Macaca fascicularis: one gene and its partner. The protein of the gene in region 1 interacts with the protein of each later gene in a pairwise test. Links are inferred from orthologs where the notes say so. Each region holds a gene or a part of one and is shown on either strand. Other genes may lie near its edges. The genes, in order: BLMH and NUDT12.

What was found.
Region 2: the proteins of BLMH (region 1) and NUDT12 interact in binary tests that used the Homo sapiens proteins (3 or more experiments, as listed by UniProt). The two-hybrid records come from large-scale screens. The link is inferred for Macaca fascicularis from reciprocal best matches to the Homo sapiens genes BLMH and NUDT12.

Annotation. Positions count from the first base shown.
Region 1 is NC_088390.1:35,798,507-35,815,146, forward strand, and holds the start of BLMH (bleomycin hydrolase), read right to left. Parts: upstream 7,643-16,640; 5' UTR 7,512-7,642; coding exon 7,499-7,511; intron 7,196-7,498; coding exon 6,998-7,195; intron 3,620-6,997; coding exon 3,510-3,619; intron 2,311-3,509; exon of another isoform or gene 2,202-2,310; intron 2,076-2,201; coding exon 1,934-2,075; intron 1,022-1,933; coding exon 933-1,021; intron 1-932. UniProt on the Homo sapiens protein: The normal physiological role of BLM hydrolase is unknown, but it catalyzes the inactivation of the antitumor drug BLM (a glycopeptide) by hydrolyzing the carboxamide bond of its B-aminoalaninamide moiety thus protecting normal and malignant cells from BLM toxicity.
Region 2 is NC_088380.1:109,942,746-109,958,605, forward strand, and holds the end of NUDT12 (NAD-capped RNA hydrolase NUDT12), read right to left. Parts: intron 13,720-15,860; 5' UTR 13,714-13,719; coding exon 13,508-13,713; coding exon of another isoform or gene 13,477-13,507; intron 12,939-13,476; coding exon 12,349-12,938; intron 9,577-12,348; coding exon 9,409-9,576; intron 8,337-9,408; coding exon 8,223-8,336; intron 5,934-8,222; coding exon 5,734-5,933; intron 4,496-5,733; coding exon 4,385-4,495; 3' UTR 4,140-4,384; coding exon of another isoform or gene 4,113-4,139; 3' UTR 2,382-4,112; downstream 1-2,381. UniProt on the Homo sapiens protein: mRNA decapping enzyme that specifically removes the nicotinamide adenine dinucleotide (NAD) cap from a subset of mRNAs by hydrolyzing the diphosphate linkage to produce nicotinamide mononucleotide (NMN) and 5' monophosphate mRNA.

The DNA of each region.
Region 1 (16,640 bases):
TCTCTGCCAACTGACTATGACTATGGTTATGCCAGCCCCCAATAAAATTTTCATTTTTTCATTTCATTTTTTCACTAAGATAAAGGTGAGTCTGAAATTTAACCGCAGTGCTAAAGAAGCTGTTGCTCTCACTTCAAATGGAATCAAATGTCATATTATTAATGATCTTTTAGCCTTTCGATAAAAATCCCCAGCGTTTCCAGGGTGGAAAATAGCCCACTTCTAATGTTGGGGAGACACACCTATAGTTTATTTTAAAATGTAATCTTTCTCCCAGGGAGATGAAAAATCCAATTTTGGCCTCATGGATTAGGACAGCAGATTCTGGCAACTCCTAGTTCTCAAAAACGAGGCCTGGCTAGAAAAGCAGCATCCCCGTAGGAATTATAATTCTCCTCGGGAAAACTGGTTATGTAGAGAAGACACAATGATTCATTAAGATAATGAAGCAAATAAAAAGCAGTTCAATAACTACAACAAATCTTTAGTGGGTGGATAAACCACATTGATGTGGTCTGGGGAAGTCTCAGAACACAGCACACTCTTTAAGGAATCTTGCGAATAGTTCTTTTGGTTTTACTAGCACATAAAGCAGTTCTAGTCCACCTCCACTGGAACCAAGTGAGAGACACAGCATCCTGAGTGCTTGCGGCCAGTATTAATTGGACATGGGACTTTATTTCCTAACTATCCCCCTAAGAAGACATTAACATCAACAGAAATAAAAGTGGAAGTTTTTTAAAAGCAAAAACCCTCTAATATTAATTATTTTTAAAGTTATTATGTAGCTACATTGCTTTTGACAGACATTGACATCAATAGTTATCTTGTACACAAACAGTATACACTGAAATACCCAGGAACCCCTTCTAAAAAGTAAGTTTTAAGGAAAGTACACTAAACTCAATCCAACCCTGCTTCATATATTGTACCTTGTGATTCAGAATATCATTCATCCTTCTGGTTGCCTCTGTTGTATAAGATTCAGGAAAGCATTTCTTAGGGATAACACCATATTTTTCTAAAAGAAAACAAATTTCAGTGTTAAATAAGGTAAAAGATTAGAAACCCTGGCAAAAATAGTGATTGTTTCAAAAAATAGGCCATATTTTGCTGGCTTAATTCAGAAAATCTTATACTTCATATTATTAAGCAGGGTTTTTTTTTTTTGTTTTTTTTTAAACAGAGTTTTGCTCTGTCACTCAGACTGGAGTGCTGTGACACAATCCTGGCCCACTGCAGCCTTGAATTCCCAGGCTTGGCCTCCTGAGTAGCACAACTATGGCGCATGATACCATGTGCAGCTAATTTTTTTATTTTCTGTAGAGACAGGGTCCCACTATGTTACCCAGGCTGGTACTGAACTCCTGGGCTTGAGCAATCCTCCTGCCCTGGTCCCCCAAAGTGCTAGGATTACATGCCTGAGCCACCTTACTCAGCCTAAGTAGGTTTTTAATGTGCATATTTATCTGTCTATGTTAGAATTAATTCTATTCTTTTTATCTACTATGCTTTGTCATTTCTCAGCCTTTTGGTCAAGATGAAGTGTATCTATCATACTTTTGTGAAGTGCTCAGCATGATGAGATTTCCCCAAAAGATGTTTTGAAGACATTTTAAAACAGCTACAGTTTTCACGTGTTTCCTGATTACATCAATGGAGAAGAAAACAATTTTTTCATGGAAAATTAGTTCTACTTAATACTACCTTTTCTTCTCCAACCCATCCTTCACAGTAGCTCTCTCCTTACTCCTCATTTAAGAAAGGCACTTTATAGGTGAGAATGTGAACTAAAGGTTCTCAGAAATAACGATATAACCTTCTTGGAGACCAATTCTACTCTGTACATAACCACCAAAGAAATGGCCCATGTCTAACTACAGGCTTACTTAATCACGCTGAGTTTCAGTTCCATTAAAGAAAGAACTTTTACCAACAATATTGACAAGCATATCCCATTGGCCACCATCATTTGCAGGGTTCATAAGCAAAAACTGCACCAGCCTCCCATCCTCAGGCTCCTTTCTCTGGGCTGTGTCCACAAAAGCGTTCAAGAAGAAGTAACAGCGCTCAACCTAAAGAGTAAAGAAAGTTAAATAAAATTAAAAGAAAAAAGAGTTAGTAATTTTACTGGCATTATCAACAGAATGGGAGTCTTGGAATTACTAAGGAATCAACATAATAGTTTTTTGTTTTATTTTTAAAAACATGAACCCTTCGTGAATTTACATGTCATCCTTGTATAGAGGTCATGCTAATCTTTTCTGTATCACTCCAGTTTGGGTATTTGGGATGCTGAAACAAGAACCATAAGTATTTTTAAACTAAAATTGGTAAATAAACATCAGTATCTGACTTCATCAGAATATGTGAAGTTTCTTATACTTGTGTATGTATTCCAATATATTGCGTATATGTGTACAGTGTTTACATTTCAATGCTAAAACAAAACCTGATATCTAAAGTCTTTAATCAATAAACATTTAATGAGCACCTATGTAATATATATTTTGTTTATTTATTTATTTATTTTTAGACAGGGTCATGCTCTGTTGCCTAGACTGCAGTGCAGTGGTACAATCTCACTGCAGCCTCAACCTCCTGGGCTCAAGCAATCCTCCTACCTCAGCCTCCCAAGTAGCTGGGGGGACAGGTGTGCACCACCACACCTGGCTAATTTTTGTATTTCTTGTAGAGACGGGGTTTTGCCACGTCCAGACTGGTCTCGAATTCCTGGGCTCAAGCAATCCTCTCACCTCAGCCTCCCAAAGTGCTGGGATTACAAGCATGAGCCACTAAACCAGGCCAGTAATATACATTTTGAAGATTAGGAAATGGAATATGGCCAGGAGTGGTGGCTCACACCTGTAATCCCAGCACTTTAGGAGGCCAAGGCAGGCAGATCACTTGAGGTCAGGAGTTCGAGACCAGTCTGGCCAACATGGTGAAATGCCCTGTCTCTACTAAAAATACAAGAATTAGCTGGGCATGGTGGCATGTGCCTGTGATTCCAGCTACTTGGGAGGTTGAGTTGAGAGGACGGCTTGAACCCGGGAGGCAGAGGTTACAGTGAGCTGAGATTGTGCCACAGCCCTCTAGCCCAGGTGGCAGGGTGAGACGGTCTCAAAAAATAAATAAATAAATACATAAATAAATAAACAACGAAATAACATTATTTACTGTTTTTCAGACAAGTACTTGAGAAGGGAAATTAGGTCCTAGAAAAGAACAAATAACCTAAAAAGATGTTAAAAAGGGAGATACACTGAATTGAATATTGAATATAAAATTTAAAATTTTAAATAGACAAGCAAAATATAGCCACCTACCAACCAAAAACAGTTCTTGCCTTTGAAAGAGTCAACTTTTGATACTCTGGAAGTCAGAATAAAAGGTGTCTCACCCATTATGAAAGGGCAGGGTATAAATGGAAAAGCAACAAATGAAGAGGCAGTCTCTACCAACGCTGAAATCAATACAAAAAGAATCTTGCCAGATCCGTCCCCTACCTTGTCCCAAAAAAAGAGGTAAGATTGACTAAACTCAAATTCTTCAATATTTAATTTTTTCATGAATGGAAGCCTCATAACATTCAGACAAGAAAAGATCCAGCATCGCCCTGAAACAAGAAAGCACATCAAGAAATTATGAGGGTTCACACAGACTGCACTGCTCCAACTGTTATTTCCCACCAATGAACTCATGACAAGATCTGGACAATTCAGAAAGAGTAAATCAGAAAGAGCAGAAAAATTAAAAACAAAACAAAACAAGAAAGGTGGTAATTATTATTAGCAATATATGTGCAAAGGTTTAATATCTTTAACACAAAAACACTCTTTACATATAAAATAAAGAATCCATTACATATCACCCAAGAAAATCACATTAGAAAAAGAAACATAGCTAGAAAACTGTGAACAGAGACCACAAATAGATCATTCAGTGGCCAAAAAAGATACAAATGACAAAGAAGCAGTTGTAAAAGTTAATGATAAAGACACCTGTTAAGTGGGGAAAGATCATTTCTTATTTCATTTGGGGAAATAAACATCATTATCAATCTCGATAGGAATCTAAATAGGCATAAAATACCTGAATGCAATTTGGCAGTACCTAGCAAAAGCTTTAAAAAGTCCCTACCCATCCGGCGGTGGCTCACGCCTGTAATCCCAGCACTCTGGGAGGCTGAGGCGGGTGGATCACCTGAGGTCAGGAGTTCGAGACCAGCCTGGCCAACATAGTGAAACCCTGTCTCTACTAAAAATACAAAAATTAGCCAGGCAAGGTGGCGAGCACCTGTAATCCCAGCTACTCAGGAGGCTGAGGCAGGAGAATCACTTGAACCCAGGAAGCAGATGTTGCAGTGAGCCGAGATGGTGCCACTGTACTCCAGCCTGGGTGACCGAGGGAGACTCCGTCTCAAAAAATAAATAAAAAATAAAAAACCCCTACCCTTTAATCTGGAATATGCGTTCCAATATGCTTCAATATAGGGTGATTGTATATGCTTCCGTATAGGCTGACCTTAACGTAAGTCAATACTCCATTCTCCTAGTGATAAGCCAAAAAAGTGGAGATATTTCCCTAACTGGATTTTATAAACACTTCGAAACATATAGGAATAGTAAATTGTCTACCCATAATATTTTAATAAATTTTTTTTAGGAGACAGAGTCTCACTCTGTCACTCAGGCTGGAGTGCAGTGGTGCAATCTCAGCTCGCTGCAAACTTTGCCTCCTGATTCTCATGTCTCAGCCTCCTGAGTAGCTGGAATTACAGATGCGTGTCACCACACCCACCTAATTTCTGTACTTTTAGTAGAGCCAGGGTTTTGCCATGTTGGCAAGGTTGGTCTCGAACTCTTGACCTCAAGTGATCCATCTGCCTCCGTCTCCCAGAGTGCTAGGATTACAGGCATGAGCCACAGCACCCGGCCAATATTTTATAAATTTAAATATATACTTAAAATCATGTTAACATAAATTGATTTAGAAGTACTGTTTTTCCTACTTCACATTTCATTTCCACACTGATTCATACTCTTCACATGTACCTAGCCATCAGTGTCTGTGCCATCATTAGATCCACTCTTTCAGTCAGCACACGTCATCTCTCTTCCTCTAGTATGTTTGAGTCAATGTTTTGAATCCATGCATGATGCTGTCCCTGAAAATTCTATGCCAAGCATCAACTATATAATCAGATTCTTCATTTGTCCTGTATGTGTATAATCACAAACTCCATTATCACCACTTCCTGTTCTGACTTACATGATCTTTAAAAGGTCTATTTACAATGATATGCAACATCAATTTATTCTAATTTGTCGCCTTTTAAAAAAAGCTGATTCAATCAAAGGATCTCTGTAAGCATGCAAAGGTAGTACGCATCTGAGGTTTTTCAGAGTAACGTCTTCTCCAAATTGTACTCTACTTCAAAATAAAGTAACTGAGAGCGCCCATTAGAAAAATCCTTTAAGGTCTTAAATATAGGGAAATTATCTCTTTTCTGAAGGAAAATTCTGAGGGAAAATCTTTGACTTGTATTGGGTATAACTTTTTTACTAATATGAAAATACGTTTATAATATATTGGTAAGTGAAAAAGATAGGTAGCTTACATAACAATGCATAAGGTATCAATCCACATTACACACACACACACACACACACACACACACACACACAGACCTGACAAATATACAGGAAAAATATTCACTTGGTATTTGCAAATATTCTACATTAAACAAAAATAATTTTGTAACAAGAAGAAAACTCTAGTTAACTACAGTGTTTTTTGAAAGTCACCAGTGCCTTACTATTAGTCTTTACCTTAGATTTACCTGTATGTCACCTCTCTTCTATATGCTATATATTTCTAGTAGAAGGGATCTGGATGCACTGGTGATGTGAAAACTGCATGAAAATAAACTACATAGCTCACATGCTATTTGGATCTTTTGTATATAAAAGTGACACTGCAAAATGTGTAAGACCTGACCTGTTCCCTAACAAGTCACTGCAATCTAAACTATGTAGGACCACTGTGACATTACTAACTGTATCATCTGTAGCCTGAGAGCCCATACCACTCCAAGCACTTTCTTCTAGAGCAAAACATTAATTATTGTAAGGTCTTGATTTTTTCCTTAACATTTAAAAAATCAACTTTATTCAGGTAAAATGTACATACAATAAAATGTACTCAAGTTAAATGTGTGCTTTGTGAGTTCTGACCGACTCTAAACAAGCACTGATGTGCTTCCTGTCCATATAGATAGACTGGGGGTCTTCAAGTAGATAAAGACTTTAAAAAAATCCTTTTAGTACAATTTTGTTGTGAGAATGTGCTCCTTATTTAGATTGTTGGATATCCAATCTTTCACTATACCTGTTTTTTTTCTGAGAGTGGTGCTAGAAAGCAGATAGCAAAACGAGACTTCTTGACTAGTAAGGCATGAGAATAGAACTTTTTTCTGTATTACAAATTGATCTACTGGTGGGAACTGAGCCCATCAGCACATTAGCGTCAACTGTAACCAAGAAACAAATTTAAAAGTAACATCTGATGACATTTTAATGTAATTACATTGTGTCTTTTCTATTTCATAGTATAGGGCCTTCAGGGCGTTTCTGGGGAGTCCTCCAAGGATATGAACCTTTTCACATATTCTGTTTTGTGACCAAAACCATGTATCTCCAAAACATGGGCTACAAACCACAAAACATCGGAACATAATATAGTCAATTACACTCAAACGTATACTCGTGGACATGTCACTTTAGTATTCTAACCACATGTGCTAACAAGCCACAGAACACCAAAACAAACCACATTGGTAATGTTCTTAGACCTGCCTGTACCTGTGCCTCACTCTCTAAGAATTTACAACCAGTTCTTTCAGTACGAATTTAAGACCACTCTCAAGTAAGACACCAAAATGGGACGCTGTCAGGAAGGTCAAGGAAAGTATGGGAGAAGTTGAAGCCCACACCTGAGCTCTTCTGGTTGGTGACTGGCTTGCCCTCCTGGGACACCGCGTGCTGGAACACATGCTGCGCGCGCTGCACCGTGGCCCGCTTCAGACAGATGTCCAGCAGGTCGTGGGTGGTCCCGACATTCTGGGCAAGTACGAACTGGGAATCAGAATTCAGTTTCTGTATCAGAGCAGCTACCTTCTCCGAATTCAGTCCTGTTGGGAGACCAAAACGGGATTTTAACGCCAAAAAGAGGGGGAAGAGGGCTGATCTGGGGCTCCCGCGTCCCGGATCTAACTTCGTAGGCGCATCCTGGGATGCCCGCTGCAGCGGGGAAGCCCATGAGCTGCATCCTCCTCCAAGGCGCTGTCTCCCTCCAGGCCGCTCCAGCTCGCCCCGAAAGCTCCCTCCCCGCCATCGCCCAGGGTCCCAGCCCCCGGCCTTCCCCGCCGCCGGGCCTCACGGGGACCGCGGAGCTCCTCCAGAGAGGACCGCGGCGGGGGACGGCGGCACCTCACCCGCGCTGCTCATGGCGCCCACGCTGCCCGGCGGCGTAACGGTAGCTTCCAGGGTCCTCGGGCGAGCGCCGGGGTTGCGCTGCGGCTCCCAGCCTAAAGCGCCGGACCTGCCTCTCGCACCCGGAGCGCCGGAAAAAGGAAACCGGCTTGGTGGTGGCGGCGGGGAGGCTGAGGCCGGGAGAAACGGGGTCCGCGGAGGGACAAAACTCCCCCCTCGCGTTGCTGACTCAGCGCCGTCGGGGCTGGCCCCGCCCGGGGGAGGGCCGACGGGGGCGGCCTCGCTGACGCGCTGGGTCAGCCAGTGCCGGGGGCCCGAGGCCGCGCCTGCCCCCGCGCACTACCGCGCAGTTGCTCTGCGAGGCAGGGCGGTGCCGGAGCCCTCGCCCCCTGGGTTCCCGCCTCCGGGCCGCGCGAGCGCCCTCTCGGTATCAGGCCCGCTCCGAGGAGGGAGGCTGACGTGTTCCCTACGGGCCCAGACCCCAAGTACTCTAGCATCGGGGAATCGTCCCCAGGAATCCTTGTGAGAAGCCAAAAGGGAGCTCGAGGCGGGAGGGAGGAGCTGAGAGGTCCCATAATTAAGCATCAGGCTTAGGACGGGTCACAAGGAATGCACCCGAAGGCTCTTCCTATAGGCTTCGTTTGCTGACCAATCACTGCATTCTCAATGGCAACTGGTTGCTTGGATTCTCGTCAGAAGCAAATAATTGTCTTTGAGGGGAAATTGGAACCAAGCTCTTTCCCACCCACTCCAAAGCTATTACCAGAGTTCTACAAATAGACAGCTGCTCATTTCAAGAACGCTACCCATTTGGTCTTAACGGAGTTCACGAGTGTCTCCTGTATAGTCCAGCATGTCCCGTTGGGTTTAACCTAGGAGGATGACAGAGGCTAGCCTTATGCCTCAATATTGTTTTGCCGAGTTCTCTACAAAACTAACTGATGCTTCCCCCTCTAGGCTTTCAAGATAACAGTTTCCCAAAGTTTTGAGATTGTAAAAACCTTGTTTTTGTTGATTCCGTTTTTCATGCCCCGAAATCTCAGCCCTTAGTAAGATGTTGGGCTAGAACCCAAAGAGGGTAAAACAAAAACACTGAAACCCTGTATCTGCTATTCAAAACAATAAGGTTTTGTGTGTGTGTGTGTGTAACCTAGAATCTAGGTCTTCTTAGGTTGAAAACCATCGCAGTTCTAAGGAACTCTGATATCTGGAAAAATCCATACTGAGGCACCAGTCATTCAAGAAAGCACAGTTTCTATGTCCCTAGAGAGACTCAGCTAAAAATTGGGGCTATAACATAGCAACTATTTTAAGTGGGCCCATCAACCATCGTATTCTGAGGTTCTTTCAATATCTGAAAAAGAAGAGGCTGAGAATTATACAGAAAGAAATCACTGGTCTTTTCACAAAATGATGTTCAAGCATCCTGTCCAATTCAAATAATAAATTTTTATTCAATATCTAACATGTACTATGCACTGGACAAACTACCGATGACATAGAGATGAACAAAACTTAATCTTGCCCTTAAGAAGCTCAGTGTAGTAGGAAAGAAATGCAAAACAACTTTTAGACTCTCTGTAGTAGCATACCAATAGCGCTGTAGACTGTAGAAGCAATGAGGAGAGCACCATCAATTAGGGCCAAAGGGTGCCTGAAAATAGAAGTGACAAGAGAGCATGATCTTGAAGAGTGGATGAGATTTTTATAAGTTAAAGAACAGGAGAAGGGCATTCAAGGCACCAACGAAGGCACAGAGAATAAAATCATGTTCGAGAAAGGGTGCATTATAATCGGATGTGGCTAAGAGCAAGGCATGTGTTGAGAGCAGAGGCAAGGTGTAGGACTGGAAAAGTGTGAGTTTGGGCCAAGATATAAAGGGTTTTATGTGCAATGCCTGAGCATCTAGACTTTATCTTATGGTTAATTAGAAGACAAAATGGGTTTTGAAACAAAGGAAAAACATGCTGAAGTCCGTGTAAAAAAAAAAAACCTGGTGGCAGTGGGGAGAGTGATTTGGAGGGGAGAGGCTCTGGAGATGGGGAAACTGCCTAGAAGGTTCTTCCAGTAGTGAACTTGGGAGAGGACAAAAGCCTTAAATTGCAGAAAGGGAAGAGGCATCGATAATCTTGAGGTTTTCAGCTGAATAAGAAAATGGAAGGTGGTATCATTAACCAAGAGAGGGCATACAGAAAAATAGGTATATTTGCATATTTGCAAGTGTGCAGATCTGAACTGAGTTTGGGCTATAGCAACATTAGGATGCCCACAGGACACCCAGGAAGAGAAGTTCAGGAGGTAGATGAAAAGATACCTAGAGATTAGGTGAGACACATAAGTTCAAGTTGGAACCATGGAAGTCAGCAGGGTTACAGAGGGAAACAGGATAGAGTGAGATAGAGATGAAGACCACAGATAGTGCCCTGGGCTGCAATGTGCAGTGGCACAGGGTGTTCATGGCACAAGGGCACCAGGCTGAGTGTGGTGAGTAGAGACTAAAATGCAGTCCAGGCTCTGCTTGCCAAGCCATGCACCCTGGCCAAGGCTGTGCACAGAGTATGATGTACCTTTCACTACTTTTTTTTTTTTTTTTTGAGACAGAGTCTCGCTGTGTAATCTCGGCTCACTGCAACCTCCACCTCCTGGGTTCAAGCAATTCTCCTGCCTCAGCCTCCTGAGTAGCTGGGATTACAGACACGCACCATTATACCCAGCTAATTTTTGTATTTTTAAGGGAGACGGGGTTTCACCATGTTGGCCAGGCTGGTCTTGAACCCCTGACCTCGTGATCCGCCCACCTCGGCCTCCCAAAGTGCTGGAATTAAAGGCGTGAGCCACCTTGCCCGGCCCCTTTCATGACTTCTTATAAGGATGCCATATGGGGGTAGCATTAGCTCTGAAAATGATAATGTTTAAAGTATAGATGAAAACAGAGGAGCCAGCAGAACTAGAAAGAGCAGTCAGAGAAGTAGGAGACCTGGGGAGTTACGTCCTGGAATCCCAGGAAGGCAAGGCGAGGACAGTGAATTGAACTAAAAGCTGCAGAGAGTCAAGTAAGATTGGTTTTGGCAACTGGGTTGCAGGCAACCTTAGAGAGGGCAGTTTTAGTGGAGGGGAAGGGTGGGCAGAAGCCACATTGTAGTGAGTTGAGAGGGAGGTAAATATTAGGGAAGCTCTTTGGGGAGAAAGGGTAAATTTATGTCTACTGGAGGATGAAAGGAAGGAATCAGTACAGATGAGAGATTAAATATACGTCAGAGAGGATACAATTGCAAGAGTAAGAGCTCAGGAGGAGATGGAATCACTGGGGAAGGTGGAGGGGACCAGTTTTACAGCTATTGCCACCCTTTCCATGCTGGCGATTACATTTCTCCACCCCATGCCCAGAGATTTCTATCATCATCTCTTTGCCAGCATCCTGCTCTGTCCTCATCATCAGGGTGGCACCCTTATTACCAGATTTCCACCCAGCAATTCACACCCATGCACTCAGCCCCCATGTGGGCATGGTGAGGAGGTACAGAATAAAACTGGTTTCCCAGTGGGTTGCCCCCAAATGACCCACCCAGGAAGACATTTCTCCAAGAAGAAAATTCTTATGTTCTAGCCCTCTTATTCCAGCCAGAAGAGATGTTGTACAGCCCAGTGACACCTCATGGGACAAGGCAACCAGAAACAGAATTCTAGTATGAAGTCCATAATATTAAAAAAGAAAATATTGCCTGTAATCCCAGCACTTTGGGAGGCTGAGGTGGGAGGATTCCTGCCTCGAGTTAAAGGCCAGGAGTTGAAGGCCAGCCTGGGCAACATAGTGAAATCCCACCACTACAAAAAAAGAAAGAAAAAAAGAAAAAATTTTAGAAAAAAATTAGCTGAATGTGGTGGCAGACACTTTTAGACCTAGCTACTCAGGAGGCTGAGATGGGAAGATCACTTGAGCTCAGGAGTTTGAGGGTGCAGTGAGCTATGATCACACTGCTGTACTCAGCTGTCTCTAAAAAGAAAGAAAAGAAAATCTTTATAAATCCTGTGAGGCAGCACCATCTGCCACAGCAGACATGCCTTCTGCCTGTTGCTTCCACACCACTCTACCAAGTTAAAGCAAACAAGGCCAGTCTCAAGGCAAATTGATTGCACACCCTGTGTCTCCTCCTTTGCTGTCCACCAATCTTTGACATGTGTTTGTCAACTACTTCTTTTTTTTTTTTCTTTGAGATGAAGTCTCGCTCTTGTCTCCCAGACTGGAATGCAATGGCGCGATCTCGACTCACTGCAATCTCTGCCTCCCAGGTTCAAGCAATTCTCCTGCTTCAGCCTCCCAAGTAGCTGGGATTACAGGCGCCTGGCCACTACACCCAGTTAATTTTTGTATTTTTAGTAGAGACGGGGTTTCACCATGTTGACCAGGCTGGTTTCAAACTCCTGACCTCAGGTGATCTGCCCACAAAGTGGGCAGACCTCAGGTGGCCTCCCAAAGTGCTGGGATTATAGGTGTGAGCCACTGTGCCTGGCCACAACTACTTCTATTTCGATAGAAAAGACCAGGTTTTTGTGTTGAATGGAAGTCTACGCTAGAATCTAACACAAACATTCTCCAATTCTATGAAACTCATTCATACTTAAGTGTTGTCCCACTTACTCCAAGATTTGCCTTGGTTAGAGAAGCCTTCTTATATTTCACCAGACGTGATAGTCAACTTCAGAGTTCACACACCGGTAACCTATTGGAGCAAATTCAGCTTTGAGACATTTTGTTTGGCCTGCATGGTAATTTAAAATTTTTGAGCTGGCCGGGGTAGTGGCTCATGCCTGGAATCCGAGCACTTTGGGAGGCTGAGGCAGGCAGAATGTTCAGGAGTTGGAGATCAGCCTGAGCAACATGGCATGGCAAAACCCTGTGTCTATAAAAAATACAAAAATTAGTCAGTGTGATAGTGTGCACCTTAGTCCCAGCTACTTGGCAGTCTGAGATGGGAAGGTTGCTTGAGTTTGGGAGGTTGAGGCTGCAGTGAGTCATGATCATGCCACTGCCCTCCAGCCTGGATGACAGAGCAAGACCCTGTCTTAGAAAAATTTTTTTGAGACAATATTTATAATTGGGAAGTTTTGGATACAAATCCGGGTAGCTGGCTTCTCTTTAAAATATTATTGTTGGCCAGGCGCGGTGGCTCAAGCCTGTAATCCCAGCACTTTGGGAGGCCGAGACGGGCGGATCACGAGGCCAGGAGATCGAGAGACGATCCCGGCTAACACGGTGAAACCCCGTCTCTACTAAAAGAATACAAAAAAAAAAAAAAACTAGCCGGGCGAGGTGGCGGGCGCCTGTAGTCCCAGCTACTCGGGAGGCTGAGGCAGGAGAATGGCGTAAACCCGGGAGGCGGAGCTTGCAGTGAGCTGAGATCCGGCCACTGCACTCCAGCCTGGGTGACAGAGCAAGACTCCGTCTCAAAAAAAAAAAATAAAATAAAATAAAATAAAATATTATTGTTTTGGCTGGGTGCAGTGGCTCATGCCTAGCATTTTGGGAGGTCGAGGAGACAGATCACTCGAATCCAGGAGTTTAAGACCAGCCTGGGCAACATGGTGAAACTGATAGGTAGTCAAATGCCTAAGCAGATAAGGGCGGGTCCCCAGCGAAATCACACCTTCAAGCCAAAGACAGTTTAAAGCCTGAAAGCCAAGCTACAAGTTTTGGATAAATCCATGGACTGAATTGAGAACCCCTCTTCCTGTTTGGCATGCTTTCCTGTGACTGAACCCCATCCTTCACATAATTTACATATACCTACCCTTCCCTAATTGATTTTTTACACTGTTGTGCCTTTGTTTTAGCCTTTTTGCCATACCTACAAACCAATCAGCACACACTGCCCTATTCTGAGCCCATAAAAGCCCTGGACCCAGCCACCCTGGGAGAGAGACCACCCAACTTCAGGTGGGGGACCATTCTCGCACTCCCTCTCTAGTGAGAGGTATTTCATCGCTCAATAAAACTCTTCTCCATCCTTCTCACCCTTTGATTGTCAGCGTAGTCTCATTCTTCTTGGACGTGGGACAAAAACTCAGGACCCTGCTGAATGCAAATACAAAAAGGCAATAACACTGTAGCCCTCTACCCCACATTGGCACCTAGCAGCTGCCCCCCACTAAGGCAGGGCTGAGCGAACCCCAGAGCCATGGGCTAGAGCAGGGCAGTGGGACTGACAGAATGGTTAACCCTAGACTAAAAGAGCTGTCAGTGTGTTGTAACACACTCTTCTGGGGCTTCAGGGTCACAGGCTTCCCTGTTTGGGCACCACCACGTTCCCCTCACCTGGATGCCAGAGTCCACCACAGGAGTCTCTTGCAACAGGCGTGGTTCAACCACAGGCACCACATGGAGCCTCTCCTATGCCAGCACTTGGAGCTACTGGCCAGACCCTGCACTTGCTCACCCACACATCCCTTCCCACTGGGGGCTGAGCGTGCAGTTGTGGTGCCTGTGGGATCTGTGCTGGAGCACAAATCAGGCACGGCCTATGGGCCGAGTAGGCTGAGTGCCTCCTGCAACAAACCCAGTGCCAAGCGAGGCCTGGGCAGGGGCATCACTGGCCAGAGGTCTCTGGCTGGCAAAGTGGCCGAGAAAAATCCTGTGTCGAAACCCATCTCTACCAAAAATACAAACATTAGCCAGGTGGTGGTAGTGTGTATCTATAGTCCCAGCTACTTGGTAGGCTGAGGTGGGAGAATGGCTTGAGCCTGGGAAGCAGAGGTTATAGTGAGCAGAGATTGCACCACTGCACCCCAGCCTGGGCAACAGAACCGAACCCTGTTAAAAAAAAATAAAGAAAAAAAAATACTGTTGTTTTCCCGTGATAGTAATTTCTGCATCAAAAGAGGGAAAAAAAGTGTTACATTTATTGCCTGTGGATATTTATGTTTTCAACCCCTGATTTAGAATGACCTGGGTGGAGTTTGGGAAAATTATTTCTCCCTTTCCACTATCATCCCCATTCTTATCCTTGTAATTCCCACCTCCCTAAGATGAGCAAAGCTAGCAGGTGCTGACCCTGCCAAAACTTTGAGATACTGGATCCTGGGGCTTTTGGGGCCCAAAGGAGCCTATATCCCTTCACTATAATTTTTCTCCAGAATGTGGCGTGCACTCATCTGAGTCCAGGAGAACTGGCAGCTTTCTGACTTCCACCTTCCCTGCCACTCCTAAACTCCATGTGGGCTTAACCCAACCCTGTGACCCCTCCTTAAGCCCAGAGAACTTTAGATTCAGGTTTTAAATGTTTCAGCATATTCAACATTAGTTGTAGATTATGTCTGGGGTTTTTTTGAAACATGATCCAATGTTCTTGAATGTTGATCCAATGTTCTTGATGTTTACACCCACATTATTCTCACCTCTGGATATAACATTTCTGCTAGTCACTGCTCTAGGTGCTAGCACTTCACAGAGCATTCTAGGCAGAGGAAACAGCACATGCAAAGGTAGAGGCATGAATGGCCTTGAGTCTGATTCAAGAACAATGAGAAAGTTTGGTTGAGTTTTATGAGCATTTGAGATATGCAAATTTGGAATCATTCATTATAAACCATTAATAGTACTTCATTATATACACAAAATTTGAAGTGGTGTGAAACCTTTGTAATATTTAGTATTTGTCAGGAATTGCATACTTTCAAACCTGGTGGTGGTAAAGTGAATTAGAAACTGTTTATGCTAGTGCCACATGGCGGAGCCATTTTAGCTGGAAAAATAGTATCTTTCCTTCAATAAATTCACATTTATTGCTATGAGAAAAATAGTCTTGGATTTTGGAAGTTTAAATTTTATGTGAAGATTTCAGGAATGTATCCCTTTCATAAAATTCGGCTGCTCTAGAATTTGGTGTGGCAGTAGCATAGAGTAAATGGCGGGGGAAAAATGTATATAGGAGGTAAGAAATGAGGTTGAAAAAATGGTTTATAGTCAAACTATGAAGCCCTTTGAAAGGTATGCATCTTTTACTCATGGGGATATGACTGTACTCACAAAATCCTCCTCTATCAGTAAAAAAAAAAAAAAAAAAGAGAATCAACTTCAAATTATATTTCCCATAAAGGGAGTAGGTTGACATTATATTTCCCCCAAATTTCTCTCTTTAATTCATTTATTTAACTGCTTATTGAACGCCTACCGATTGGCAGCAACTGTACTAGAAACTTGAAATACAGAAAATGAAGGAGACTCGTCCTTGACTTCAAGAAGCTTCAATCTAGTACGGAAAATGAACACAACAAAATTAATCATTATTTTTTGATTAATACAAAAAATATTCAGCTGGGTGTGGTGGCTCACACCTGTAATCCCAGCACTTTGGGAGGTCAAGGCAGGTGGATCACTTGAGGCCAGAAGTTCAAGACCAGCCTGGCCAACATGGTGAAGCCCCGTCTCAAAAAAAAAAAGAAAAAAAATTAATTGAGCATTATTACATGTCAGGCACTGTATTAGATACAGAAATACAGCCGGGGGCGGTGGCTCACGCCTGTAATCCCAGCACTTTGGGAGGCCGAAGTGGGCAGATCACGAGGTCAGGAGATCGAGACCACGGTGAAACCCCAACTCTACTAAAAATACAAAAAATTAGCCAGGCGCAGTGGCGGGCGCTTGTAGTCCCAGCTACTCGGGAGGCTGAGGCAGGAGAATGGCGTTGAACCTGGGAGGCGGAGCTTGCAGTGAGCCGAGGTCATGCCACTGCACTCCAGCCTGGGTGACAGAGTGAGACTCTGTCTCAAAAAAATAAATAAATAAAATAAAAATAATAAAAATGATACAGAAATACACAGGAAAACCAGATAGACAAGGTTTCTCCCTTCTGGTGCTTGCATTCTGGTGGGAGAGTTAGACAATAAACAAATATATGACATATAAAAATATGTCACTATTTCAAATAGTGACATAAAGAAAATAAAACACAATGATGTGATAGTGACTGGCCAGGGGGAGTAGTGGCATTAAAGCCCTCTTTAAGGAGGTGACTATTTGTTCTGAAACTGAATGACAATAAAGGTCTGGCTTTGTGAGGCTCTGTGGGAGAAAGCAAGGGCAAGGGCCTTATAGAAACAAGCACCACTTAACAAGATCATTGGGTTCATTTTGCCTGCTGCCCAGAT
Region 2 (15,860 bases), on another chromosome or scaffold:
TTAAACATTTCTACAGCCATGAAAACTTTGAGGTCCACACAGATACATGCATATTTTCTCCTGTTACCCCAGAACACACACATTTCCCAGTGGCCTCCCACCTGTGGATACACTCCCATGGAAGCCCTCAGTATGGTATAGAGGGGGGATGATGGCAGGACCACCCAAGCACCTGAGGTTTGAATTTGCACACATCTTTCAGCATCTTTTCTTTGGAGTTCCAAATTCTCCAAACTGCTTGGTACTATTCAAATTTGTTCCATAAACACAAGTAAACCTAACAAAAAAGCAAAATAACTCTTAGCAGTAAAGCTGTTGGATAAATGGCAGTTTAAATCATTTTTACCCCCACTGACAGAGATGATTTCAGCTCACCGCTACCTGAGAGTAGTAATAAATATTTACAAAGTACTCTACTGAGATGTTTGGAACATCACACTGCTCCAACAGACAATTTCAGGCTAGAGTGAAATGGGCAGGATAAAAAGTAAACAAAAATAAACTTCAGACTAGATCACTTGTCCACTTACTCTGTTTTAAAATAAACAAGAGTACCAGTTTCAATTTCTACTGCTGGGTGCAACTTCCACATTACTAAAAATAAAACCTCCTCACAAGTTAAGTGGTTAGAATGGTCTTAATCCTCCACAGGTGAGGCAAAGAATTTGTCTGGTATCGTTCCCATGAGCCCAGGAATGGAAAGCCAGGGCATTTTTTCATTCTTTATGCTGAGTTTGTCTGTCTCTTATCAGGCTTCTAGTGAGAAAGAAAAATGTTTCCATTAGGAGAAAGTTTCCCCCCGCCCCAACTTAAAATCTGTTTAAAATTTTACAGCAGACCCACTATTCTGGAGAGTTATCACTATACCAGGAGTTGCAAAAAGGAGGAATATCTATTGTCTACTGCTATGACTTTGACTCCTTAGCAAGAAAAAAAAAAGTCTTGAAGAAATAAAGAAAAGTTAAAAGTATCACTTCCACCAATGAATACAACTATATATAGATATCCTTCAGTAAAAATAGAATGAGTAATTTGCCTCTTGGCCCAATTAACATGTCCAAACATTCATCCCATAGTTGAAAATTCATTTTTTTTTCCTCAAACAAGAATTCAGGCTGCTGATTACCTGTTTTCCCTATGCCATCCTTATTATTTAAATGCCCTTTCTTTTGACCATTTCTAGTTTTGGGCAAAAAAAATGGAATTACTTGAAAATCTATCATATATAATAAACTTCACTCCCTCTTTCAGAAATTCTTTTGAATTCTATTCTGATTGTCCTGGAAGGATGGTAGGTTTTTAGTATTTAGTTTATGTTCACAAGTAATTCCTCCAGTCAGTGACTAATTTTGAAGGTGCAGGTACTTGGCAACATTATTACCCTTACCCCAAAATACAGCCTGTCTCTCATCTGCTCCTGTGGGGTTAAAGCTCTCAGGCATCTGCCCCCACTTACCAAGCACCCTTCCTGCACAGAATATCAAACTTCCCTGCCTTTTCCAACCTCTTGACAGCTACTCTTGCTTAGCCTCAGGACCTAGATCTTAAATATTTGAAGACAGAAACTCCTACTTTTGCACATTGGATTTACTTTGTCCTACACATTTTTTTTTCTAATAAACAGCCCGTTTTAACCTCAACAAATACACACATTTCACTCAATAGCTACCACCCATCTTTCCCTCCCTCCCTCCCTCTCTCTCCCAGAACCTAACAACTGGGTCTCAGCCCTAATAAAATTTGCACTGTGAAAATTTTACTCTAAATAATTAATGGATTTGTTTTATGGAACATTTTCACTTAATATTTTATTGTATCCATGTTAGCAACACAGTTCCAGGACCAGCCATCTATTGTTGTTATATGTGGGATTTAATTTAGTTTATTTCGTTTATTAACAAACTTATTCTTCCTCCTTCCATCTCATGGTCTCTCCCTTTGTTATTCTATTATTTTCTGTCTTCAGCCAAATCCCTAACCGGGTCTTTAAAAGAATTTCTCATTTTTCCAACTGAATGAAAGATGTGGGCTTCTAACTCTTCATGTTCCATCAACATGTGAAAATGTCAAAATCCAACAATTAGCAATATTAGACAAGTAATAAAAATAATACCAGATATATTGCTTTAAACCTGAAGAGCAAAAACTATTGACTTTATATATGTATGTATGTATATGTAAGTCTGTTTGTATTTGACCCCAAACTATATTTTAAGATTCAAATGAAAGTTTTAAGTCTCCCAAACACAGACACTTTAAAAAGGCTTCTGCATTTTTTGTACACGTCATCAATTCGAAACAGGTTAAGAACTGAAATTAGGCTTTACTCATTTTTCAAGAGACTTGTCAAAACATGTTAAACACACACACACAAAACAAAATCAATTTTAAAAATTTATTATGACATTCATTTCCAGTAGAATACACTCATGGCACTACCACGTCTACTATTCTTTTGAATTGGCCATTCCTTCTATTTACATAGCTTTTCACCTCTCAGAGGTTGGCAATTTAAAGTTGTTATTAAAACAATAATTTACTTTGATGTTGATTTTTCCCCAAGTAAGGATTAAATATCTAAAACAAAACGTATAACCACACTTGTTGATACTTTATATTCCACTTTCCTATCTTAACATTATGACAACCTGGAATTTTACAATGTAATCTTAGAATCTGTAAGTATTAAAAGTACATTTGGAGTAAAACTGAATTTCAAGACGCTCTGTTTCATAATAATCAAGGTACATTATTTTCCATATACTTATGTAGCTCAAATTTTATTATGTATCTAAATGTCCTGTGTCAGTTTTAATTTGGTTTAAATTCTTGATACCAATAAGCCTTCATCAATTCCTAAGAAAATCACAGCTCATTAGTAAAATGAAGTTTTATCTGACAGTTATTATTTAAGTTAAATAAACATTAAGTATCTAAAATTTTAATTAACAATATTTTGTAAGTTAAATTTATTCTTATCATTCCTTCTTTTAATTCTGTCTATTATATTTTTAGTAATAGCTTCTAGTTCCTATTACAGGGAGAATCGTCCTCTGCATTATATAGTACAGACTGCTGTAATTAATTAGTTATGTAACTTTCACTAATTAAGTAAATTCACCTTTCACAATTTCTTTTTCCTTATCTATAAAATAAGGAAAGTCAATTTCATATATTATCCTTAAGGTCTCTTCCAGCTCTAGCATTCATTAGTAAAGATCCAAATTATACAAATTTTGATATTCATAAACTATAATAGCTATTAAATCAATTTCAAAATAGCCTTATAAAATGTGACTTTCTATGTTGCAAAATTGTGAACTACTATGTTTTGCTTTCTCTAGAATCTTACTGATTCAGCTCTAAAATATACTTATTTTATCAAGGCTTCTTAGAATATGTTGAAATAAGGTCAAAGCCAAGATATATTTGAGCATAATAAATATTATTGGTAATGATTATACGATTTTTTGCTAATGCAGATACATCACTCATCACGAAATGAAATAAAGCCAATGTTTTCAATTAAATATGTAAATCTGCCTGGGACTTATTTAATATCCGACCTTTCAGGAGAATTCCTTTCAAGTTTAATTTCAGTGCAAAACCAGAGAATCTTGATTTGTCTTAATAACAGCTTTAGGTATAAGTGACATATAAGTAGATGTGTCAATTAATTTTAGGTTTAAAAGAGAGGTCCTAGATATAATAGTATGCTTTTCTCCTTCCAGGAGGGTGTGGTACTGAAATCTCTATTAGAGTTAATTATTAAATCTCTATTAGAGTTAATTATTAAAATAAGAAAATTCTTAACACTGGTCAAATTAGACAAGTGGCTACACTATAACACCTCCACTGCTAGAACAATGGAACCCCCAGGAAAGAGCAAGTGGAACTACAATGGGGAGATCAGCAAAAACCAGATACTGATAACTTAAAGATAACAAAAGGACTAAAAAATCAATACAAGCTAATACAAGCTAAAAATTCATTAAAACTTTTTGTTTCATTTCTCAGATCAAGAACTTTCGTCATCAATTTAATGCTTATAAGAGGCACTGAAATTTACGCACATTTCTAGAACATACTTCTTTCCAACACGATGTCTCTTATTAGAAAAATGGTTTTCTGAGATAAAACTGAAGAACAATGAAGAAAAAGTTCAGAGAAGGCTGACCCAGATTTAACATAATCTGAGGCAATATTGTAATTTGTAAAAATATGAATTTGTGATTAAGACAGAAGAACATTTTGAAAATATTTCCAAACCCAACATGATATTCTGTGTTGTGACACTCAAGAGTACTGAATAATCTCTAATATCACTTAAGGAATGAGTGTTATTAGAAATTATTAAATAATACCCAAAGCTTAGTTCTTAGATTTAGAGATTGGGATTTATTCTAATCCAGTGTTTGATTAATTGATGTGCAATAGCTCGGCTTGGTGGCACAAAGAATGCCTGCTGCTTCCCTTTGGTCAGAACATCCAGGACCTAAAATACACCATAACAGAATGCATTAGGATTTCAAAGCTGTCATATTTAAATACTATTCCCATACTTACATAATTCAATTAAAATGTGATGAGTTTTACGGGGAATAACAGTAGAAAGTGACAACATCCATATTTACAGGCAAAGTTTTTTTTTTTTTTTTTGGAACAAGGTCTTGCACTCTGCCACCCAGACTGGAGTTGCAGTGGTACAATCATGGCTCACTGCAGCTTTGACCTCCTGGGCTCAGGCGATCCTCCTGCCTCAGCCTCCCAAGTAGCTGGTACCATAGATGCACACCACCACACCTGGCTAATTTTTTAAAAATTATCTGTACAGACAGGGTCTCCCTATGTTGCCCAGGCTAGTCTCAAACTCCTGGGTTCAATCAAGCTTCCTGCCTTGGCCTCCCAAAGTGCTAAGATTACAGGTATAAGCCACCACGCCCAGCCTCAACATGCAAAATTTAGTACAGCATTTTTAACTCCTTCACTGAGTTAGTGATTCAATTTTTAAAATGTTCCAGAAAGACACATTCCCTTATGAAAAATGACATCATGAAAAAGCAAAATGTATGCTCCACACTTAATTTCTAAGTGAAGCCAACTTTTGAAACAGATTCTTTTTTATAAAATTCATAAGCAATAATCTAAATTCCATCTTTTTGGATTAAGCATAGAATAAAATTAATTTTATGCAGGCAAAGTCAGAAAGAATTTCAGGTCAGATGAGTAATCCATCTTTCAATATATTATTTAGGAATGGCATTTTAAAAAGTTATTTTAAGTGTATGTTTATTATACAGTTATGTCATTCTTGGCCTTAAGTACATTTTAAGATGAATAAAAACTTTCTGAAAATTTTAAGCACTTACTGATGTTTTTTGAGAGCCACTTGTTTTAATGTTATAAACTAAAATATAAAAGGTTTGAGAATATTCCTGTTTCTCATCTATGAATTAATGTTTAAGCCCACTGATAGGAACTATTAATGTGTAGGAATGGAATCTAAAATTCGAAATGGTACAGAATCATCTCTACTAGAAAAATCTCACATATAGATCACATTAGTGAAACATACTCCTCTTGTATGGAATTACTAATTACCATGTAATCCATGCATAATGAGAGGGCCAAAGCCATCATTCAACTTGCTGAAAATATGCATCCTTGTTCTGTGCCCAAACCAATACAGTCAGGGAACAATCAATAGAAGAAGGAAATTAAATTGAACTTTACCTGTTCTCTAGTGAACCAGCGGGCATCCTCTATTTCATTCTTGTCAACTTTAATTTCTGTAGACACTGCCACAGCTAAGCAACCAATCATTAAGGAGGAAGGCATTGGCCATGGTTGACAAGAGACATACTGAACATGGCCAACTTTGACTCCACTTTCCTCTTCTACTTCTCTTCTAACAGCATCTTCTATTGTCTCTCCTAATGAAATGGAGCAAAAGAACAAGTTGCTGATGAACATGCGCTGGACATTTTGTGTCCTGAATCGTTCAAACATCTGGAAATCACTTTGGACAGAAACCCAATTCAAATAATCAGAAAGCAGAAGCCTAAAACTAGACTGTAATTGAAGAAAACATAAATTTTTAAAGTACATGACCACATAAAGAATATGAAAATGCCAACAATAAACTTTTCATTTTTTTAAAGATCCAAATTTGTCAGTTACATTTTAAAAATAATGATATCATCTAAAAATATCCAACACCTAATATTGGTTAAACACTATGCAAACACTTTATATCTGATCTCATTTATATATTGTCCACTAAATAGATATAAATTACATGATTTTTACAAATAGCTCTTTCACACTAAAATTTTCAAACTCGTTTTATTATGTTGTCAAACAATTATTGCAGGTAACTCTTTTCAGGTCATGAAAAGATTAAAAACTACATAAGATGAAATTTAATACTTTTTCTAAGCAATTGTTTTCCTCTAGATGACTGCTGACTCTGCCATGATAAAATAAACTGATGCCTATAAATGTACTTTATATTTCTAATTTGTTGGATTTAAGAATTAGAATAGGTGAAATCATTTCTAAGTAAAATCATTTTTAACTAAATCTGGAAGTTTAGAAACATTTTGCTAAATATTGCTGTATTTAGCAAAATATATTTTAAATATAGCTTTCTATTTCAAATAGATTGATAAATTTCCTACACGAAAATTAACAACTTACAATAATCAAGAGAACACATATAGTAAAAATATAATTATAGACTAGCATAAGATATTTGCAAAACTATAACAAAAGATTCGCATATGCTACATATTTAAGAATTCTTAAAATGAATAAAAAAGGATAAACAATGAAAACAAAATTAGGTAAAAGACAAACATCTAAAATTCAGAGAAATGAAAACTGAATGCCTAATACACATTTGAAAAAAGATGTTCCATCGGCAAGAAAATGAAAACGAAAACGCGATACAATTTCATTCACCCCTCAGAATGACAAATTTAAAAGTCTGAAAAATCCTAACTTGGTGAAGATGTGGAATAATGGAACATTTCATGTTCTGCTGGAGGAAGTATAAATTGGCAGAAGCACTTTAGAGACAACTTGGCAATATACAGAAAAGGGTAAGATGCTCATATCACATAAGCTGGTGGTGCTACTCTGTGTATACAATCTAGATAACTCTTGCAAGTGTGCACAAGTATAAAAATATTAATTGCAGTGTTGTTTGTAATAAGAACTTTAAATGTCCAATCAGCAGAAGGGATAAATAATGGAATATTCATGAATGGATTACTACCCAGCAGTTAAGACAATGACAATGACCTAGAACTACTAAAGACATTATAGGGATTTGCAGCAAGAACTCAGAAGCCAACATGCCCAGGTTTAAATCCCTTCCCTATCACTTATTCGCTGTTTGAACTTGAGCAGATTATTTCGTCCCTATGCCTTAGTGCCCCATCTGCAAAATCACTGTAATAGTGTATTTTATATGGTTGTATGAAGATCATACAATATATATATATATAACACAGCCTGATACTGTTTTATATATATGATATGATCCTTCTCCAGAACACAGCCTGATACTGTGTGTTTACTATTATCTAGTAATGCAAATATTGGAAACGGAAATTGAGATAAAACATTTATTACTTAGACATATTCACTCCACAAACATTTACTGACCTACTACATGTGCTATAGGCATGTGCTATGAGGGTTTCATACATAGCAGTGGATAAAATAAAGTCCCTGTGCTAATGAAACTTATATTCTTGAGACAGCAGATAATAAATTAATAAGTACATACGTAGTATATTAGGTGATGATGAGTGCCCTAGGGAAAAATCAGGCAGGATGATAGGGATTGTGAATGCAGGGTATGGGGGCTAACTAATGTATCTGGGGCAATTAAGTAAGGCCTCTTCGAAAAGGTGACAGTTGAGTCTAGTACAGAAGGAAATGAGGTGGAACCTAGATACCTGGGTCAAGAGCAACATATCAAAGAGCAAATACTGAATTTTTAACAAAGCAGATCCAATTACTAGGAAAAGCAATTTATGTAATTCTCATATAAAACATAAGAATTACATGTTTAAACTATTATTGAAATTGTATCATGTTTAAAATACTTTAACCCAGTTTTATAACATAATTTATCAGAGATTATTAAATGTTATCTAAACTTTGTATTTTGAAATCATAAGTTAAATAGAAATTATTAAGAAAAGGCTTACCAGGCTCAATAAATCCAGCAAGGCAAGTAAACATGCCTGGGGGAAATCTTTTCTGCCTGCCTAAAAGACATCTGGTCCCATCTGGATGAATAACTTGCATGATTACTACTGGATCTGTTAAAAAAAAAACATATATCTGAATGGCAGGAAACACGAATTTAGATTCATGTGCAAACACTGTCTGATAGGATAAAATAAAGGTGTATCTCCTATAGGGATAGAACCCTCGTCTGGCTGTAAGAGATTGCTTCTTTCTGCCCTAATGTAGCTGACAACAGAGTATCTCAGCGAAATTGTACAGAATAGTGTCAATAAGCTAGCAGAAGACCATTTTTGTCCTTCTTCCCCCAATCTTAACAGCAACATTTATTCTGTACTTATGGATGTTAGGTGTATTGTTATTTTAATGAGAAAAACTTTGAGTAGGTAATACATGCAAATAAGGAAAATTCAAATTTTACCACTGTAAATAATTTCCCTCTCCCATCCTAACCCTTAACAAAATGTTTTTAAAAGCTAATATGGTTCTATGATTAGATTTAAGTTGTTAAATAAAATTTAAATAGCAGTTCATCTCTCTAGAAGTTACTAATTCAGCAAATTCTTCTCACTATATCATGACTAAGAACTAGGAATTAAATGTAAAAAGGTCTTGAGCAACAAAAACAGATGTCACTAAGCCATGTTATTTTTCTCCCCAGAGGCCTCCTCAGGTGTTGCTGAGCCTACCTATCGTTTTTTCACACAGTTTTAAAGGTCTGGGTTATCAGATTTCCAAACCTACGGCAGACTCAAAGCAGCAATTAGAAGAGAGAATACAGGCAGACATTAACAGTAGTGAAAAGCTAGCCAGGCTGTACTGCTATGGTAATGCCTCAAACAGGCAAGAAATTGTTGGGGCTTTTTCTCCATTAAGTGGAGCCACACTGGTTGACTTTTGAAATCATGTATCATAACATATCAGGTTCATAGTGAGTAACCCAAAGTTAAGAAATGGCTATTGAATGTACCATGTTTTTTTACTTAAAAATCATGAAAGTATGTTACACTTTAACACTTACATTCTTAATGGTTAGACATGTTTTCCATAAAAAGGAAAACTTTTCAGCTCCTCACAAATTTTCTCTTTCCAGAATATCCTATTCCCCAAGATCCAGGTGGCGGAGATATAAAATAAAGGGCTTACCAACTCTTGGGTATGATGTATTATGAACGCCATTGAGACTAGGACAGTCTTCTTTTAAACATACTCTCTTATATCCACCTTCTTCAATTTTAGTTCCATTTCCACAGGTTGGGCAAAACTTATATCGACTGTGCCAGGCAAGAACAGATCTTGCTTGAGCTACAACCCCTTCAAAAAAAAAAAAAAAAAAAAAAAAGCACAAAAATTTAATTACGTGATAAAATCAATATATAAGTAAAATATTCTCAAGTTACAATAAGAATAGCTATGTGATCAGGTATTTTAGTGTTTCTATTTTTATAACGTGTATTTTTCTTTTAAAGTAAAAGATTTAATTTTCTGGATGACAAAAATTAGATTCAAGTTTAGTTTGAATAAAATATAACTCTCATATAAGATAGAAGTACTAACATCTATCTTACATCATACATTAGATCAGGCTTTTAGTGTAGGTGATTTTAAAAGTTGGGGTATTCATGATTCTAGTGTAGAGTAAGTTTACAAACAGTGATTTTACAATAGTGATTTTAATAAAAATATACCACAAAAGCAGTTCTTGAGATTTGTATTCTAAAGGAAATATTACCAGGAAACCGTAGGAGGCTATCACCACTCTCTTGGTGACTATGCCATTGATGGTCGACGCTGTGTGGAACAGAACCTATTTTCAACGGGAGACTGCATGTACACAGTATAAAACACACTGCATTTACTATGTTCATGGTTAACTTTGTTTACCAAAAAATGCCTAATAGGATAAATCTTAAAATATACACACTTTAGCTATAGGTTTTACTCTGGTAGTTCAAAAAAGAATTAATACGACCTGGCCAGAAATATTACAGTTGAGGCAATAAGACTAGAAGTGCTGTATTTTAAATGCTTGACAAAGTCACCTCCCTAAAATACATTATTTGGTCTACAGATTTTTGAAATGAACAAAATAATAATTAAAATTCTAACATCATTTAAACTGGGAAAAATAAACATAAAACAGTTGTAATGAACAGACAACGTTACATTTTTGCCTGCTACCTAACCTTATAATATGTAACATGCTAGGGTATTTACATTATTTCAGAATCATCACAAAAAGAAAAGCTAACATTTATTGAGTACTTACAATGTTCCAAGCATCATGCAAGGAATATTTATAGATTATCCTATGTTTAGAGCAACCCTAAAGAAGATAGGTACTATTATTATTTTCTGTAGGAGTAAACTGAGTCACAGAAAAGTTAAGTCTGTATAAAGTTATAGAGCAAGTGAGTTAAAAGGCCTCAGTTTTCCTACAAGGGAAAAAAGCAAGCAACTAGCTCATTTATCATATCTTTTTTATCTTAAAGTGATATATACATGTCTAAAGAAAGTAAATTTTCTTTAAAAAGCTTGACGATTTCTACACAGGTGTGTAGAATAAAACATACCGCATCACACTTTGAGACAGAGATATTTAAGCAGTCTCTGGCAGGACCTCTATCACCTAAGGGAATGTGGTCACTGACAAGTGACCTCTTCCTAACTTCCCATTAACTTATCAATCTACCATAATCTGGCTTCCGTTCCTTTCACTCCACTGACATTTCTCTTGTCAAGTTCATCAATAGCTTTATATTACCAAAGACAAAGATTCTTTTAAAAAAAAAAAAAAGAAAAAAAAAAGCCCCACAAAACTTTGCCTTCATCTTACTCAAGTTCATAACAGCATTCAATACATTTGACCACTCCCTCCTGGAAATATGCTGCTGTCTTGGTTTCCCTGAGGCCTCTTGGTCTCTTCCTACCTCATGGCCACACTGTTTCCAACTCCTTTGATGGCTCTCCTGCTTGCAGCTTACCTTTAAATGTAGGGGGATTCAGGTCTTACTCTGAGAGTTTTTCTTGCTTACTCTCAACTCTCCAAGTAATCTCAGTAGTTTTTTGGGATTTAAGTATCTTTGTGTTGATGACTGCCATATGGGTATTTCCAGTTCAGACATCTGATTCTAATGTCCATTTCTAAAACTTAGTATGCCCAAAAGTAAACTCTTGATTTATTTACTCCAAGTTTATCCTGCTTTCCTTGCTCTACCCATCATATTATTAATGGTATCACTATATACCAAATTATTAAAGTCTCTAGCCTAGCAGTCATTCTTAATCTTTTCCTTCATTATTATATATCCCATATCCAATAGCAAAGACCATTGATTTTATCTCCAAAATTTATCTTGCATATACCCTCTTTCCTCCATTTCTACTATCAGTACCTTAATTCATGCCATATTACCACCATCTCTCACTTACAAGGGTCTCAACCTACAGATCAAGCCCTATCCATTCTACCTCGAGAATATCTCAAATTCTCCCTTTGTCTCCATCTCCACTGCCTCCATTCTAACTCAAGCCATTGCAATCTCTTACTTGGGCAATTGTAATACTCAATTACTTCTTAACAAGACTCCCAACTTTCACACTTACTTACATGTGTGCAATTTATGCTCTATGATGCAGTCAGTGTGCAGTGCAGTGTTTTGTTTAAAAAAAAAAAATTTAAATACAGGTCAGGTTACATTTAAATGGACTTTAGAATCAAACTCTAATTTCTTACCATGCCATAAAAAGCCCCAGCAACAGAATACAAAACAAATCAAAACAGTCAAGGTCTTTGCCATCATGTTCTGTGTGTAGCAGGAACTCAAGAATTATTCACTGAGGAATCAAATGAGATCATCCTGCACCAGTGTTAATTCTCAGGAAATCAGTCTGGGCTGATTAGAACTACTAACTGCCCAGGAGAGTAGTCCCCTACGGTGAGAACTTTAGGAGGTTTCTGATGAAGGCAGTCTAATTTCACTGCTCATTGGAACAAAAGTGGCCCTGGAAAGTGCAAATACATACAATTCCAACTCAATTCTAAAAACCAGATTTTACCAACAAAAAGCAGCATTCATTTCTTACCAGCTTCTTTTTCTTTCAATTGCAGAAGGGCTGGCATAGGAGGATGAAGAAAGTAACAATTTTCATGTCTTTGCTTGAATTCTTCAGCAGCAATAGGATCTATACCTAGAGCAAACCAGGCAACCAATCCATCTTCCTCCTCTCTCGGGACTTCACCAGCATAATTAAGTAGCTTGTCTTTCATTTCAAGTTCCACTCCAAGAAAAATCAAGGTGATCTTCTCAGGCTGGGCCAAATAATCCTTTATATCTTTGTAGTTCAGCTGACAAAGCCTAACTTCTGGTTGTTGGAAACTTTCTTTATTGCCACCTAGAGTAACCAAGGGATTTAAATCTGAGAAAAGAATAAAAACTGTGGCTGGATGGCTTTCTTTAGCTAGTAGCCAGTCAGCATTATTTCTCTTTTCACTCTTCCGGTCCAGTAGTGTTTTGCTAAAATAATTTTCACATTCTTCCACTTCATTCGTTAGGAACCAAGGCTTCTTCCCACCTTTAGCAGTAGCTAGTAAATTAGCTATATGCTTATAACCCCAAAATACAGCAATATCCAGTGCAGTCTGCCTTGATTTATTGACAATTGATCTGTCACACCTACAGATGGAAGAAAAAATGGGGAGAAAAAGTAAAATAGGAAGTAAACACTTTCTCCTGTATTTGTTTCAATAAAATATTTCCAGATGCACATTCAAGTCCTTCTTTTTAATGATTACATAGATTTTTTTTCTTGTGTTACATAGTTTACTATTGGGAGGATTAGAACAATAATCATAAATGACAAAAAGAGACAGTGGATACTTACACTTTCTGGATAATTACTCACAAAATAAAACAGCATTAAGTTTTATGTACTATAAAGAGATACCAAAATTCTACAAGAAGTCCTTGGTAGTCATAGTGAGATCTGCATTTTCTATTTGGGAGAAAAGTTTATTATTAGACTCCTCATAAATTTGCTTTGCTATAAAGTAATAATTTCTCAATGAAAAAGGTTACAAAGTTTTAAGTTAGAAAAATTGTGCTACATGTTTACATAAATTAGCCAATGAGTTATTTAGTAGTTCAACAATATAAATATGGAAACAAGCAAAATTTAAAAGTAAATATGTAACAAAGAAATTAAACCACAAACCCTTTCAGGTGGTACAGCCTAAAATGTTTACCCTTTCTCAAGCAGAAATTGGACAATCTCTGGGTGCCCATTCCTTGCTGCATACATTAAAGCAGTCCAGCCATTTTCAGAAGTTTCATTGAGAAGAGATGGAGAATGACTGAGTATTCCTGTTAACTTGGCAATATCTCCTTCAGCAGCTGAACAGTGAAACTGGGTAACTATTTCTTGCTTTGGACTTCTTTTTACAGAAGACATTTCTTCCTTAAAAGAAGGAAAATAGGGGGAAAAAGCTTATTTGCAACTGCTTTTTTGTCAATGAATGATATTGTTAGAATAGCAGCAATGGTTTCCAAGGCAATATACTCTTCAAAAGGCAATCATTAAACAGCATACATTTCAATTTCAAAATGTTATCAGTTTAGAATTACAAATACAATGAAATTTATATGCTCATGGGAGTTACACAAAATAATGTATAAAGAGCTTTGACAGCACAGACTAGGGGGCCATATCCTTAGAGGGGGAACCAGGTAACATATTACATAAGGATGAAGTATTTAGGGTACACCAGAGGGGACTTCATGATGAGGTGGGGACATGACAGGGAGAACATTAAAATAGATGGAAGTAAAGGCAGAGATTTTCTAAGTTTCACATGAAAACAGTTTATTGTTTGACCTTGCACAATTAATTCTGTAATCCATCTAGGATCTATTTTTGTTCATGGCGTGAGGTAGGGGTCAAGACACTTTTTTACCCAATGCATAATCCATATGATTCGGCATTATTCTTGACATTTCCATCTTTGTTGTACTGTACTGAGACAAATATTGTCACAAATCAGATGACCATATTATTTTTGGTTTTATTATTGGACAGTTCTGTTGATCACTTTGTTGTCCTTGAATCAGAGCAGCTTTTAAAACTCATTAACTTTATCTACTTTGTCCCTCTTTTCAGTGGTGGAAAACCCCCCCAAATAACTGCCCCACACATCTTAAACATTGCCTGATCATGGACTGCAGATAGTAGAGCACAAACTGAGCTTCTTTTTTTTTTTCTTTTTTGGTGGGGGGGATGGTGAAAATGGTTAATGATTCAACTGTCTGTGAATTTCTCAAAGTATTTTTTTAAGGTATAATTTTTCTTTCTATGAAATGCTATTAAGAAAAGATTTGGGATTCTAACTACATTGCTATTATTCTAAGCAATAAGATTTTTAAGCTGAAAAGACAGAAATGTTATAGCCCATAGTTTTTGATAGCTGCTGTCTCCTGGGTTCTGAAAGGGCAATCTGGCTGATGAATTGCATAGCTGGAATAGTATGAACAAAATTTAGGGAAAACAAGGAGTAAAGATTAATTTTCTTATTTTGGAGCTGTTCACCTTTCCTATTTGAGTCTTTCTGCTACTTATAAATAGGTTAAAACAGCTCAGAGTCATGGAAACACTTGGATAAAACCTAATAGTGGAAATCTGTTTAGAAATTACCAGAAGTAATATCTACATGAGAGAATAATTGACTTACTCTAGAATTTACTTTGCTATTCTTTTCATATTGAAATTTCTAAATACTTTTAAAATATTATGCATAACAAAAGCTTTAACTTTTCAGGACTTTATTTTGAAGCACTGCTGTACAGCTCCTGTACTGATCTCCCTTCAAATTGTCTTTCTCTTAAATTTATTTTACAAAAATCCATATTATAGTTTTTTCAGCTAGGTTTAGTTTGAATAATATTTCACTGTTTCATGTTCCAGGGTCACGGTCACTCCCTCACATTCTCACAGGCTGCGCTAGGTGACTGCAAAATTGTCCTTCAAAAGTACAGCGTCATTCACTACCTCCAGGGCAATGCTTATGCATATGCTATTCTGTGGAGATAGAAAGTGGAAAGTGTACACTTTTCCCTCTTGCTTTCTCAGCAGAAAAGCCATCTAGAGACAGTACCATTATTCATTCCAGAGAAGCACATAAACTCTAACACCCAATTCTACTGTTTGATTTACTTTTTCAATTCTCATTGGCAGGTTATAGAAGGTAAGGATTTGAAGGCAGAATAAAGTGCTGCCCTTGTTTTCCAAGAAGCTCAAGGACTATTCCGAGAAATCATTTAAAAGAATATTAGATTTAAAGGGACATACATTTTTAACAAACCAACATCCACTTTTACTGACGTGTAACCCGGGGCCCATGACTTGCGCATGCTCTCATAGACCGAGAGGGACAGGACAGGACATCAAATATTGCTCTGTCACTGAAGTCACTGACCATCAATTAACGAATTTCATCCACTCCCTGGGCACTCAAGACCAATTAAGCGCCACCTGTGCACGGTCTCGGAAAATTGTAACACGCCTTGAGATATTTTACTTTCTTGCCACTACTGTTAGGTTCCTTC